Drosophila melanogaster: one gene and its partners. The protein of the gene in region 3 interacts with the protein of the main gene of each other region in a pairwise test. Each region holds a gene or a part of one and is shown on either strand. Other genes may lie near its edges. The genes, in order: Scp2, elfless and CG9609.

The links.
Region 1: the proteins of CG9609 (region 3) and Scp2 interact in a two-hybrid assay, tested with the Drosophila melanogaster proteins (one large-scale study listed by BioGRID).
Region 2: the proteins of CG9609 (region 3) and elfless interact in a two-hybrid assay, tested with the Drosophila melanogaster proteins (one large-scale study listed by BioGRID).

What each region holds. Positions count from the first base shown.
Region 1 is NT_033777.3:16,581,937-16,585,767, forward strand, and holds the start of Scp2 (sarcoplasmic calcium-binding protein 2), read right to left. Parts: upstream 1,728-3,831; 5' UTR 1,628-1,727; intron 1-1,627.
Region 2 is NT_033779.5:18,009,417-18,013,016, reverse strand, and holds elfless (elfless), read left to right. Parts: upstream 1-1,541; 5' UTR 1,542-1,640; coding exon 1,641-1,754; intron 1,755-1,810; coding exon 1,811-1,939; intron 1,940-2,005; coding exon 2,006-2,083; intron 2,084-2,151; coding exon 2,152-2,520; 3' UTR 2,521-3,374; downstream 3,375-3,600. Other genes in the region: CG31740 (uncharacterized protein), read right to left, coding at 3,524-3,600.
Region 3 is NC_004354.4:16,785,282-16,789,112, reverse strand, and holds the start of CG9609 (uncharacterized protein), read left to right. Parts: upstream 1-2,104; 5' UTR 2,105-2,362; coding exon 2,363-2,548; intron 2,549-2,608; coding exon 2,609-3,634; 3' UTR 3,635-3,831. Other genes in the region: Sap30 (SIN3-associated polypeptide 30), read right to left, coding at 418-546, 771-1,163.

The DNA of each region.
Region 1 (3,831 bases), on a different chromosome or scaffold from region 3:
CATAAAAGCCACGCGCTGTTTGCCACAAAACTGCGTCGGCTTTTGTGGCACGAGGCAACCACATTAACCAACATCACCGCCGAAGGCTCGTTAATTGGGTTCTGTTTGAGTTTCGCTTTCATTTTTCGGGCCATGCAGCGCAGCAACGAGTTTCTAATAATGGAAATATGGCGGAAATCCCAGACTTTTATCTCCTCTCCGGCAATTAATAGCCATCTGTGAAGTTATAAATTTCAATATGAAGACATCAATGCTTTAATTGCTTTTTTAGTATCGGCGCGCGAGATGCGAAATGGTTTCATTCGATACAGCAATTTATTGGGCAATCAAATTAGAGAACACCCTACCACTCGTTTATCAACACAATTTGATTTGCATAAACTGGTTCTTGTTTTTTGGTTTGGGCTGCAATGTGTTTATTATGCAAAATCTGAATTCCCGACAGGCGAGGGCAGGCAGGAAGCTCATAAATTATTAGAGAATAAAATGTGGGATGGGGTCCGAAAAAAATGCAGATAGCTGACAAATGTTAGGCAGTGCTGAAAAGTATGCTACACTCTGTCAGACATGCGATTGATCGATTTTCTGGACAAATTGTAGTAGTTTTGATTGCATCAGCATGCAAATTGGACAGTGGAATACGTATTTGGCCTGCCATTGGCAGGGAATCTACAACTCGGTTTGCTGATCCCAGCAGCAGCCTAATCCCCCCGATGACCAGATGACCCAATCGCTTTTCCAATTCTCACCCATCTTCATTCTCAATTCGAGTTGGACGATGGCACAGTTTTCAACCGTCGCTAATTACTTTTGCGCTGCCGTAAATTTGCGCAGCCAATTTAAAATAATAGACAATGCAAGTGGCGTCGCCGTTTGCTCTTTATCTGCTGATGCAGCTCCGGGAATTGTCCGTGGTCCGCTGTCCACTGTCCGCCGTATTCCGCGTCCACTATTTGCCTTTTGTTGCATTGTCCGGTTCGCAGTAATTTCGTGTAATTTGCATTAATTTACAGTTTGACAATTTACAGTTTTACAATTTACAATTTGCAGCCACCGAGGAGCTGTGGAGCCAAGGAGCTCACAATGAGCGGCCTAAGGCCACCGACGCATGCCTGGCCAAACAACAGGACCGAAAAAACAGACACAGGCTGGCTGACTGACTGACTGACTGACAGGACGAGGATCCTTAGAGCGGCAGCGTTCGCTTCTCCTTGGCTTGGCCAGAGCAAAACTTTGGCCACGCTTTCAATGAATTCATTATGGCCCTGACCAAGGTGGGGCGAAGTAAGAATATTCTTCCAGTTGTTAAATTGTCGAGAGGTTGGTTGTGTTTTTTGCAAAAGTACCTCCAGCATACCCTACCCCCACCTTTCTTTCACAAACTATCTGCCCACTCAAGGAAAACTGGGGCTCTGGTTCCTGTTGAGCCTCGCAGCTCTTTGAGCCACCCACTTGTGCTCGTTACTTTTGGCTTGTTCTTTTGTCGGTTTTGGAAATGGGCTTTTTCGAAAAATGTTGCGGCATTATTATTCTTGTAGCGGAAACTCTCAGCACAAACACAGGTGCACTAGCACTAGCACTCGCACACACACACACACTCACACACAGAGATAGACGTTAACTTTACCGTTGCTTCTAAACTGACTCTACACTTTCTGATTAAATTTTGGTACCCTCTCGAACTGGACTCGTCTGCTCGGCAGCGCGGTTGGCCGTCTTGTGATGCTCGTTGCCATCGAGTCAGCGGCTTTTATATGCGCTACTCGTCTGCGCCGCCATCTCTGCCAGCGTCGGCAGAACTCGAGCGCTCTGGGTGCTCTATGTCATCGCAGGGGCTTTATCTTATCGCAGTCGCCGTCTCGGTCGACTCTGCCGACGCCTCTGCACTCGTCATGGTGTGAGTGAGTGCTGCACCCGACACGAGCCTGTGTGTGTGTGTGTGTGTGTGTGTGCGTGTGTGAGTAAGTGTATGAGTAGATGTAGTGCATGTAGCGTGCTTTTTGGCCACCACGTGCACTGTTACGAGCCGAACATCGGCATCGCCGTCGTCATCAGCATGCGGCATATTTGCTCGTGGGTTTGTTTTGGGATTTGACACTCGCAGAAAACTCCATGCTGGGCGCTCTGGTAGCCGGAATGCACTTTATATTTTGGTAATTAAATGGCACGTCTTATCGGAGCGGCATTCGCATACAATGTTGGGCTCAGGGGTTACGACGCCTCGGGTGGCCAAAAAGACACTGAGGGATGTGTGCTGGCTTTCTCGTTTAGTTACTACCAAAATTTAGAACTGTTCTAGAGGTTTTCCTAAGCCAACTTTAAACGTTGATCGCCCTTTTATCGCAAAACTTTGTTCCATCGAAGAAGCAAAGTCTAAGCTGCACAAAAACAATGATAAAGCCGAAAAGGAGGCAATCTATTAGTCAACATAAATTACTAATTTACCAATAAACTATAGCACGCTCCCCATAATACAGCAAACGTATACTCGAAGATAAATCAACATAATAATTTCTTCTGGGAAATAATTCAATTAATTACAACTTGGCAAATAAACCCCAAAGGATTTAAAAGAAATTGAGTTTTGCTAACAGCACATTATGATCACGATGATGTAGATGAGACCCAATACAACATAATACTCGTACAGCATCCACCCAAATACATCGACATTGTTTGCAGTGCACCACAACATAACAAATCAAAATGTGCAAATGTTCTGGACAAATTTTTAGCATAGCCTTGACACACACACAATAAACTGAAGCACTCACACAGGCATGCTCTCCCTTAAAAGAAGGCAACACGGACACACACAAACACATAGGCTGGCTGTGGACTCAACTTGGCTAAAGTTAATTTGGCCCAAAGAAGAAGGCAGCCAAAACAGCTGCTGCAAGAGCAGCAGTAGCAGCAATATAAGGCACACTTGGCGGCATAATTTCTGTTGGCGCATTCAATCTTGTCCAAGAGTGGACCACCAACCGACGAAAGTGGCTAGAACCGAAAAAAAAATGAAAGCATTTTGGCCAAGCAATTTCCAGGCTGTCTGCTGGGTTTTTAATTACACAAAGCAGACATATACAGCTCATGTATTTCAGCTGTTAATTGTCAAGTTTCGGCTGAAATGTCGCTACCAATTTATCAAGCGCCTCAGGAGCAGGCTCCCCGTGCCTTTTTGGCCCACATCCTGTGCTTCTCGCCCAGCGGGTGTCCTGCAGCCTCTGCTTGTTCCACTTTCACGCTGTTCCAGCAGCAGCTGATGCTTATTGCAGATGACCGTTTTACCAATGTTTCGTTCCGGCCACCTTGATTTCTTTTTGTAAGTGTGTGTGTGTGTGTGTGGGAGCGACGGTGCGTGTTGGAGTGGGCAAATGTTTAAATTTGTGGCCTTTTTACCTCTTTGCATCTCAAGTGGCCAAAGGCTACGTCCTGTGTGTGTGTGCAGGAAACGGAAGCCGACATTGACACAGTTTGAAATTAACATGAGCCTGGCCAAAGACCCACTAAAATCTTGAATGCCTTCTAGCGTTTGGCCCCATTTCACAACGTTTAGCTGTCCACCTATTTCATGTAGTTTTTTTTTTTTTGTTTTTGGGCTTCCATTCCACGTCTGCTGCATCGCCTCTTCCCTTCATTTTGCTCCGCCGCATAAGTGGGACCACTAAACGTTCCGTTGTGGCTCACACACGAGCGGACGAAGTACACTGAGAAAAGTTGCTCCAAAAACCCAGTCGAGCAACTAGCAAAACAACAGTAAAAGGCTATATGATTATGAATATATAACAGTGGGTCAAATTGTATGGGAGTAAAAATCACAATTGGTACATT
Region 2 (3,600 bases), on a different chromosome or scaffold from region 3:
TGTAAATCGAAAATTACCAGAAATTGTCACTTTACATCACGCCTGCTGCAGGACCTATAAATCATACTGCACACACACTTATGCACGGGCGACACAGGAGCCACAATCTGGTCTAGTATTTTGGCAGCGCAGATCCTTTCGGGTATGAGTGTGCGAGTGAATATTCAAATCAGTTGCTGGCTGCCAATAAATGAAACTTGCCACACATCTCACTCACTGAGCGCACATACACAAACACACGCCCACACACACTCTTAAATTGTGTCGGGATATTTGAATGGTCCCGTGTATTTAGCAAATGAACCGTACTTTCTGTTCTGTTTAACTTTTTGGCAACCCGCACTAACCAAATATTACAGACTTTAGCACGGCAAAGCGATCGGCGAACGGGAATCAAGCTAAATGCCAGATGAATGGCACCGTCATTACGACTTTCGCAACTCTCGGGCTGCCAATTAACTCGCCCGATAATTTAATTACGGTTAGGGCCTCCAGGATTGGGTCCTGATGTGTTGCCAAGTCTTATCGGCCAGATCTGCGGCAGAGCAATCCTACGGATGAAATACGCTAAAATCACTGGGCTGATTAAGCCGAATCGAACTGCAATCCGCACTCTGCGCGAGCCAAACGTACACTGAAGTCGGCCGAAAGCGCGCTGAAAGTTAAATCGGAAGTCGAGAACGCGGCTGGAGCTTCCAACGGCTCGAGACAGTCCGAGCGGCACTTGCAACATGTTGCAAGTTCGTGTGTGACTTCGGGAATTCTATGTTGTTGAGTCCGGACTTTCGATCTTTGAATTTCTTTCGTTGTAGGGAGTTACTTCTGTTAGCATATTTTTTAATTTTATGTTAACCATTTAAGATACAAACATGAGAGAATGCTATAGTCGAGTTCCCTAACTTTTAGATGCCCCTTACTCAGCTAGTGGGAATACGAACGCGAAATTCGATCATTTTTCTGGGATATCGATGAATGTGAAAACATTTAAAAATTGTTCTAAAGTCTGGGCGTTAGAGTGGGCATGGCAAAAAGTTTTGTGTCTAATCGATAAGAATTAACAAGACTAATAAAATTATAAACAAATTTGATTTGGGCGGTTTGTCGTTAGAGTGGGCGTGGCAACAGGGCCAAAAAATCTGTGCTGCGTCTATGTCTCTAGAATCTGTCCGCTTAATCACAACCTTCTTGCTTTTATAGTTCCTATGATTCTTTCATACGGCCGGCAAGACAGGCGAACATAGCCAGATCTACTCGGTTTTGTATCTTAATTAAATGGAAATTCCTTCTATTTGTTTCAACGAATCTAGTGTACCCTTTTACTCCACGAGTACCTGGTATAAATAGTACTTCTTAGGGTGACAATCCTAAGCAAATATCCAATTTGGAAATCATGGAAATCGGACAATGATTGTTGGCGCGTTGAAATGGTACTTTTTATCGCAGTGTGACCTTTGGCACTTAAAATACTGGTATTGTGTCCTGGAACTTTCAAGATTTTTTGACATATGTTCAAACAGCTTTCTTGTAAATTTGCAAATAAAAAGCAAGGAAACGGGTTCAACTGAATTTGTAAAAAGTTGTAAGTTCCAAGGCAGAATTCATTGGTAGTATTAAAACTGCAAAAACAGGTGCGATTTCAAATGGGTGATTCCAGCGACTCAGACTCTTCTACTGAATGGGAGCAGAACACTAGGGTTATTTCCTTACCCTTTTCCAGAAACCGTTCACATTTGAGCTCTCGCCTCAGTTACCTGGTAAGTTCATGTTCACCCAGCTCTGAAATCTATTGATAATACACTTTATGGAATAGGTGGGACTTCAAATGGAAAACTTCAGGACCTCGAATAATTCTGGAGTATCACAGCGAATCCATAACACCGGGCCCACTCCCGTACTCGCGCCCTCCGGATTAAGATCCCGCTTACTCAGCGGTTCCTCTGTAAGTTATTGTTCTAGCCAGGTCCCACCCAGAATCCATTGGTTACATTACAACATCATTTAATAGGAGCGGAATCCAAATGAGTATTACGGAGACTCGGACTCCTCAAGCAGCAGCAGATCTATCGACAGAACCCCATTCCTGGTAAGTTCTTGTTCGTTCATCTCGATCCGGAATCCATAGGTTTTAATAGCTTTAACTTTGTTGTGCAGTTGGAGTATTCCAGCGACTCAGAGTCGTCTAGTTCCAGTGATAGTGAAAGCTCATCGACCAGCATTAGCTTCGATAGCAGTATGAGCTCCACCGAATCATCAACACCAATGGGACATACAGAATCCTCAGATTCAAACGAGGATTCTCCTCCCAACAAACGGATCAAATCAGATGACGAGGAGTCCAAGAAATCTGTCTTGCCCTACAACTGCCCTGTGTGCCTGGAAGATGTCCGCGAGAAGCTACCAGTGTCCACCAATTGTGGCCACGTTTTCTGCAAAGCGTGCATTAAGAGAGCTGTCGACACTGGCAGGGTATGCCCATTGTGCGGAGTGGATGAGCCCGAATTCCATCGTATTTTCTTGTAAGACGTGATATGGCAGAAAGCATACTAAACTAAAAATACCACGGTTTTAAATACCACAAATAGACTTGTGGCATATACTTTCGAAAGACCGTAACACAATATTCACACCTAAAGAAACTGTTGCTCCATTATAACAACGCAAACAAAATCTTATCCCAGGCAACATACTCAAGAAACACAATGCAATCGAAAACTTTCAGCTGAGAAACTAAAACTCAAATACAAGACAGACAACTTTGGCCATAAAACATGGCGCAAGGACACACTCGCATACTTGCAGGAAACCCCGGAAAAATGGAAGGCAAGCAATGAAAATTCCGACCTACCGCAATAAATTCCGCGGAAAAACAAAGCAAGTGATGCCAAAATAAGAGTGAAATGGCCAGCTCACACACACACATGAATGTAAATGAAGTGGAATCACCACCTCAGAAAAACTCAGGGACACCTCAGACACGGCCCTGTAAATCGCGCTTATCCAAAACACAACATGGCATCAGGAGGCATTGGAGATTCAGTTTCATTTTCATTCAAAGATTGAATAATAGAAGGGGGTGTTCCATCCCTACCCCAACAACCTTTGACCTGACACAATGCTCTACATTCTATGTTTTTGTTCGAGTTGCGCGTTCGAATCGCGACTGCGCAATAAACCTGATGCCCCAAACAGCTGTTCTAGGCAAGACCTAGGACAACATTTGCATCCTTAACTGGAGGCTGGCCATCCACGTTTACATTGACGTAATCCACTTGCCAGGTTGGATCTATTCGGTGTTGAGATATATCACAAAGCAGTTCCTTTTGTACTTTAATTCATTTTATTACTGAACAGCTTATAATAAAAATTCTTTATGTATACGAGAGCTTAGTTGGTTTAGCCCCGGCCAAGGCAAAAAGGAATTCGAACAGCAACATATTTCTCCAGCAGTCTTTTCCAGAAGGTTGATCTTTAAATTGACTTGTTACCGCTTGCTGCCGTATTAATGCCTATGATAGCGGGCGCTTCACCAGCCGCAAGGACACGAGCTGCAGCCACCACAAGGACCACATGGACCACAGCAAGGACTACAGCAACCTCCAC
Region 3 (3,831 bases):
TCTTTTTTAATATTAGACTCACTTTCGCAACATACTAGTTTATTTATTTTTAATTTTTGTTTGTTTTGTTTTTCGTGGGAGCACCAGTTGCCTTCTTCCTTACGTTCTTTCATTGCTGTTTTACTTTTCGCATATTACTTGTGTTCCGGGGAGTCGGGGGAAAGGCTTAAGGGTTTGGGCAGTGGTGGCTTATGGGTATAGGATTGGGTTTCTTGGGGGTCACACGGATGAGGATGAGCCATTGCACTATCAATATTCTCGTTCATCCCTATTCTGGTCAACAATGCCGACGTCCAGCAAATGCAGCAACAATGTGAGAAGTTTGGTTGTTAATTTCTTTTGATCGGCAGTTGGCCAGCGTTAAAAGGAGTAGACGTCGTCGGCGTCCTCCTCCTCCCTCCGCCCGCCGACGCGCCTTCAGGTGGTGTCGTTGCCAAGGCCGTTCTTCTGGTCCAGCTTATTCGAGCCCATCTTCACCATGTACACGAAGAATGTGATGATCTCCTTCTCCTTGATGGGTATTGTCTTGAAGTGTTTCATAATTGTCTGCGGGAGAAGAGTAGAGGTTTGCAACTTGATTAAAACAGGGTTTAGAAAACCTTATAAAGGGCATGGCACATTTTTCTGCCTTTTCTTTAGAGTGGAGGCTACTACAAGAGGGCCAACTATGGAGCATCACGGAGCACATTAGACCAGCGTGTTACCCCACTGAAATCCGGCAACAGAAAGTGGACATAGCCTGCTCAATTCGTTAACTAGGTCAAACTTACATCCGCCAGCTGCGCCCGCTTCATGCCCTGCCTCGTTTGGACCTTGAAGTGGCGCTTGTAGCGTCGCAGCGTGCTCACGCCCAGCTGGTAGAGATCGGGGAACTCGTGCAGGTCCGTGTCCGTCTCGTTGCTGTCGTCCTCGCTGTCCTTGCGCCGACGCTTGGTGCGCACCGACTGGATGCGCTCCTTGTGGTGGTCACAGATGTAAATGTGCTGCGCGGCCGGATCGCTGCTGAGCTTGAGCCGCTTTTGGGCCACCGTCTTCTGGATGCGCTTGGAGTAGCTGGCGTAGCCAGCCTGGTTGCGACACCGCTCCATGTCGTCGATTAGGCAGCACGTTTGGTCCGTGTGCCCGCGACTGTCCTCCTCGCCGGTGCTGAATCCGTTGTTCATCCTGTTCCCGATCCTGGCCGATTGCTTTCGAGTTCCTATCCAATCCCCCTTCCTGCTCTGCTTGCTGCTTCTCTGATTTTCTCCGTTTCGCTCCTTTGTCTCCTCTTTCGTCTTTCTCACTTTCGACTATTGCTTTGCTTTGTTTCTCTTTGCAAGAAAAAAATTTTCTTTCGACAGCGCGATGTGACCAAACTGGGAAATGGGGAAATTCCTCCGCAGCTGGCAAGAGCGGACAATTTGAAACTGTTTGCAGTTTCTCAAATATCTTAAATATCAAGTGCATTTTTTTCCAGATTATCGATCAATATTTTTTAATTGGTATTAATAATCGCACAAAATATTAATTAAATAAATATTAGTTAATTTCAGTACTTAAATTTAAAAATACCGTGTACCAAAATATAGTTACCTTTTCCAGCATTGATTCCAATTCCGATAGGTACCGCACACCGGTACGATAGTTGAGCCAATTACCGTTTTTGTCATCACTAGCTCACGTTAGTGCAATGAAATTTGAATTTCCTTTTTCTCAGGCGTATCTGACTGCTTGTCTATATAGAATATTATTATACTCGTCTTCAGACCAATTCTTGATTGTAGTTTCTGAGACGGGGGACTAACAAGCATATATTTGTTAAATGCATCGACGCAAGGAATTTTCACCGTAGTGAGTTGGAGAATTAAACAGAATCATTCAAAAAGACTGGGAAAAGGAATACGCAGAATTTTCTGCAAATAAACAACGGGGTTACTGCAAACTTTTCCCAGGCACATTAAAAAAAATCTTAGCTATAACGTATGTGACAATTATATTTTGAATAAATGAATAATAATGTGACCAATGTAACGTTTTCGATAACGTATCGTACATCTTATTCAGTTGTTGCAGTACAACACTGCTAGGCAGCAATTTCCAGCCCTGGAAAAATACCAAAAAATCTACCATCTCTCCAAAAACGAAATCATAAACGCTTACCAGGGACATCATCGATTTTCTACACCAAATTAAAAGAAACCTATAAGTTATAGATTTGCTACACCAAATTGAAATAAAATCAATCTCTTCAACCTTAAGTCCTTGGCTATTTCCACGTACACGAGTGTGGCCAAATAATTCCACGACATTTGCGGATGTCGCGGTAACCTAAAACACAAAAAAAAAAGAGATTGCAATATTTCGGAGATAAAAACCCTCAAAAATGCCGCCTGGAACGCAAATTGCCAGCGACAGCGATATGGAGACCGCTCTGGAGGAGTTCAAGCAGCGCCAGGGACGCCGCAACAGCATCGGCTCGGCCAAGTACGCGTGCAGCATGCCCAAATGCGAGGCCACATTCAAGCGGCTGGACCAATTGGATCGCCATGAGTATCATCACACAGGGATTGTGAGTATAGTTAGAGTATGTTAAGTGTAAGCCAGTAGTAACGCCGCCACCACTTTGCAGAAGAAGCACGCCTGCTCGTACGAGGGTTGCGACAAGACGTACTCGATTGTGACGCACTTAAAGAGGCATCTGCGCAGCACCCACGAGCGTCCGGAGTCGGCGGCCAAGAAGACGGTGAAGTGCGCGCTGGAGGAGTGCAGCAAGATGTTCATCTCGGTTAGCAACATGACCCGCCACATGCGCGAAACCCACGAGAGCCCAAAGGTCTATCCGTGCAGCCAGTGCAGTGCCAAATTCTCGCAAAAGCTCAAGCTGAAGCGCCACGAGATCAGGGAGCACACGCTGGAGTATCCGTACAGCTGCTCGAAGTGCTCGCGCGGCTTCTACCAGCAGTGGCAGTGCCAGAGTCACGAGCCCAGCTGCAAGCTGTACGAGTGTCCCGGCTGCCCGCTGCAGTTCGACAAATGGACGTTGTATACGAAGCATTGTCGCGACTCGTTGCACGGCAAGAATCGCCATAAGTGCGACCGCTGCGATAGTGCCTTCGACAAGCCGAGCGAACTGAAGCGTCACCTCGAGGTGAAGCACAAGGAGGCGGCGCAGACGGATGAGTGCGCCACCTCCTTCACCTGCAACGAGGAGGGATGCGGCAAGAGTTACTCGTACCTCAGGAATCTACGCCAGCACATGCTCACCGCCCACTCGGGCAGGCGTTTCGAGTGCCAGGCCTTGGACTGCGGCCGCTGTTTCAGCAGTGCGCAGAATCTGGCGAGACATCTGCTCAGGGATCACAAAGATGGTGCGACGAAAAAGGAATTGAAAGCCAAGAAGAAGGACAAGAGTAAGACTGGAGAAGGGGGCAAAACTAAGTCCACATCCCGCAAGCGACGACGCGATGCTGGACGCAGCAAACATTCGAGGCTATCCAAACTGGCCTGCCTGCAATTGGACAAGGAAGATGATGAGGCGGTGCGCGAGCGACAGCCTTTGGTCCTCGAAAAGATCACCCAGTCGCTGAAGGATGACCCCGTCGAGGAGCTGCTGGCACAGACCCTGCAGGATGAAGAGGAAAAGGAGCAGGAGTAGAGCAAAAGGCCATTCAAAGGGACGGGAGTGAGAAGGTCTGGTCAAGAGGCTAACAATTGAATGACTACTTTAATTTAAACCACAACTTCTAAAAGAGAAACAACTAATTTATCAGTAAATACTTAGGATTTGCGTTCAGAAACATCCGAAATTGCATTAATTTGCATAAATTAGTAAGCTATTATTAGTAGTATTCG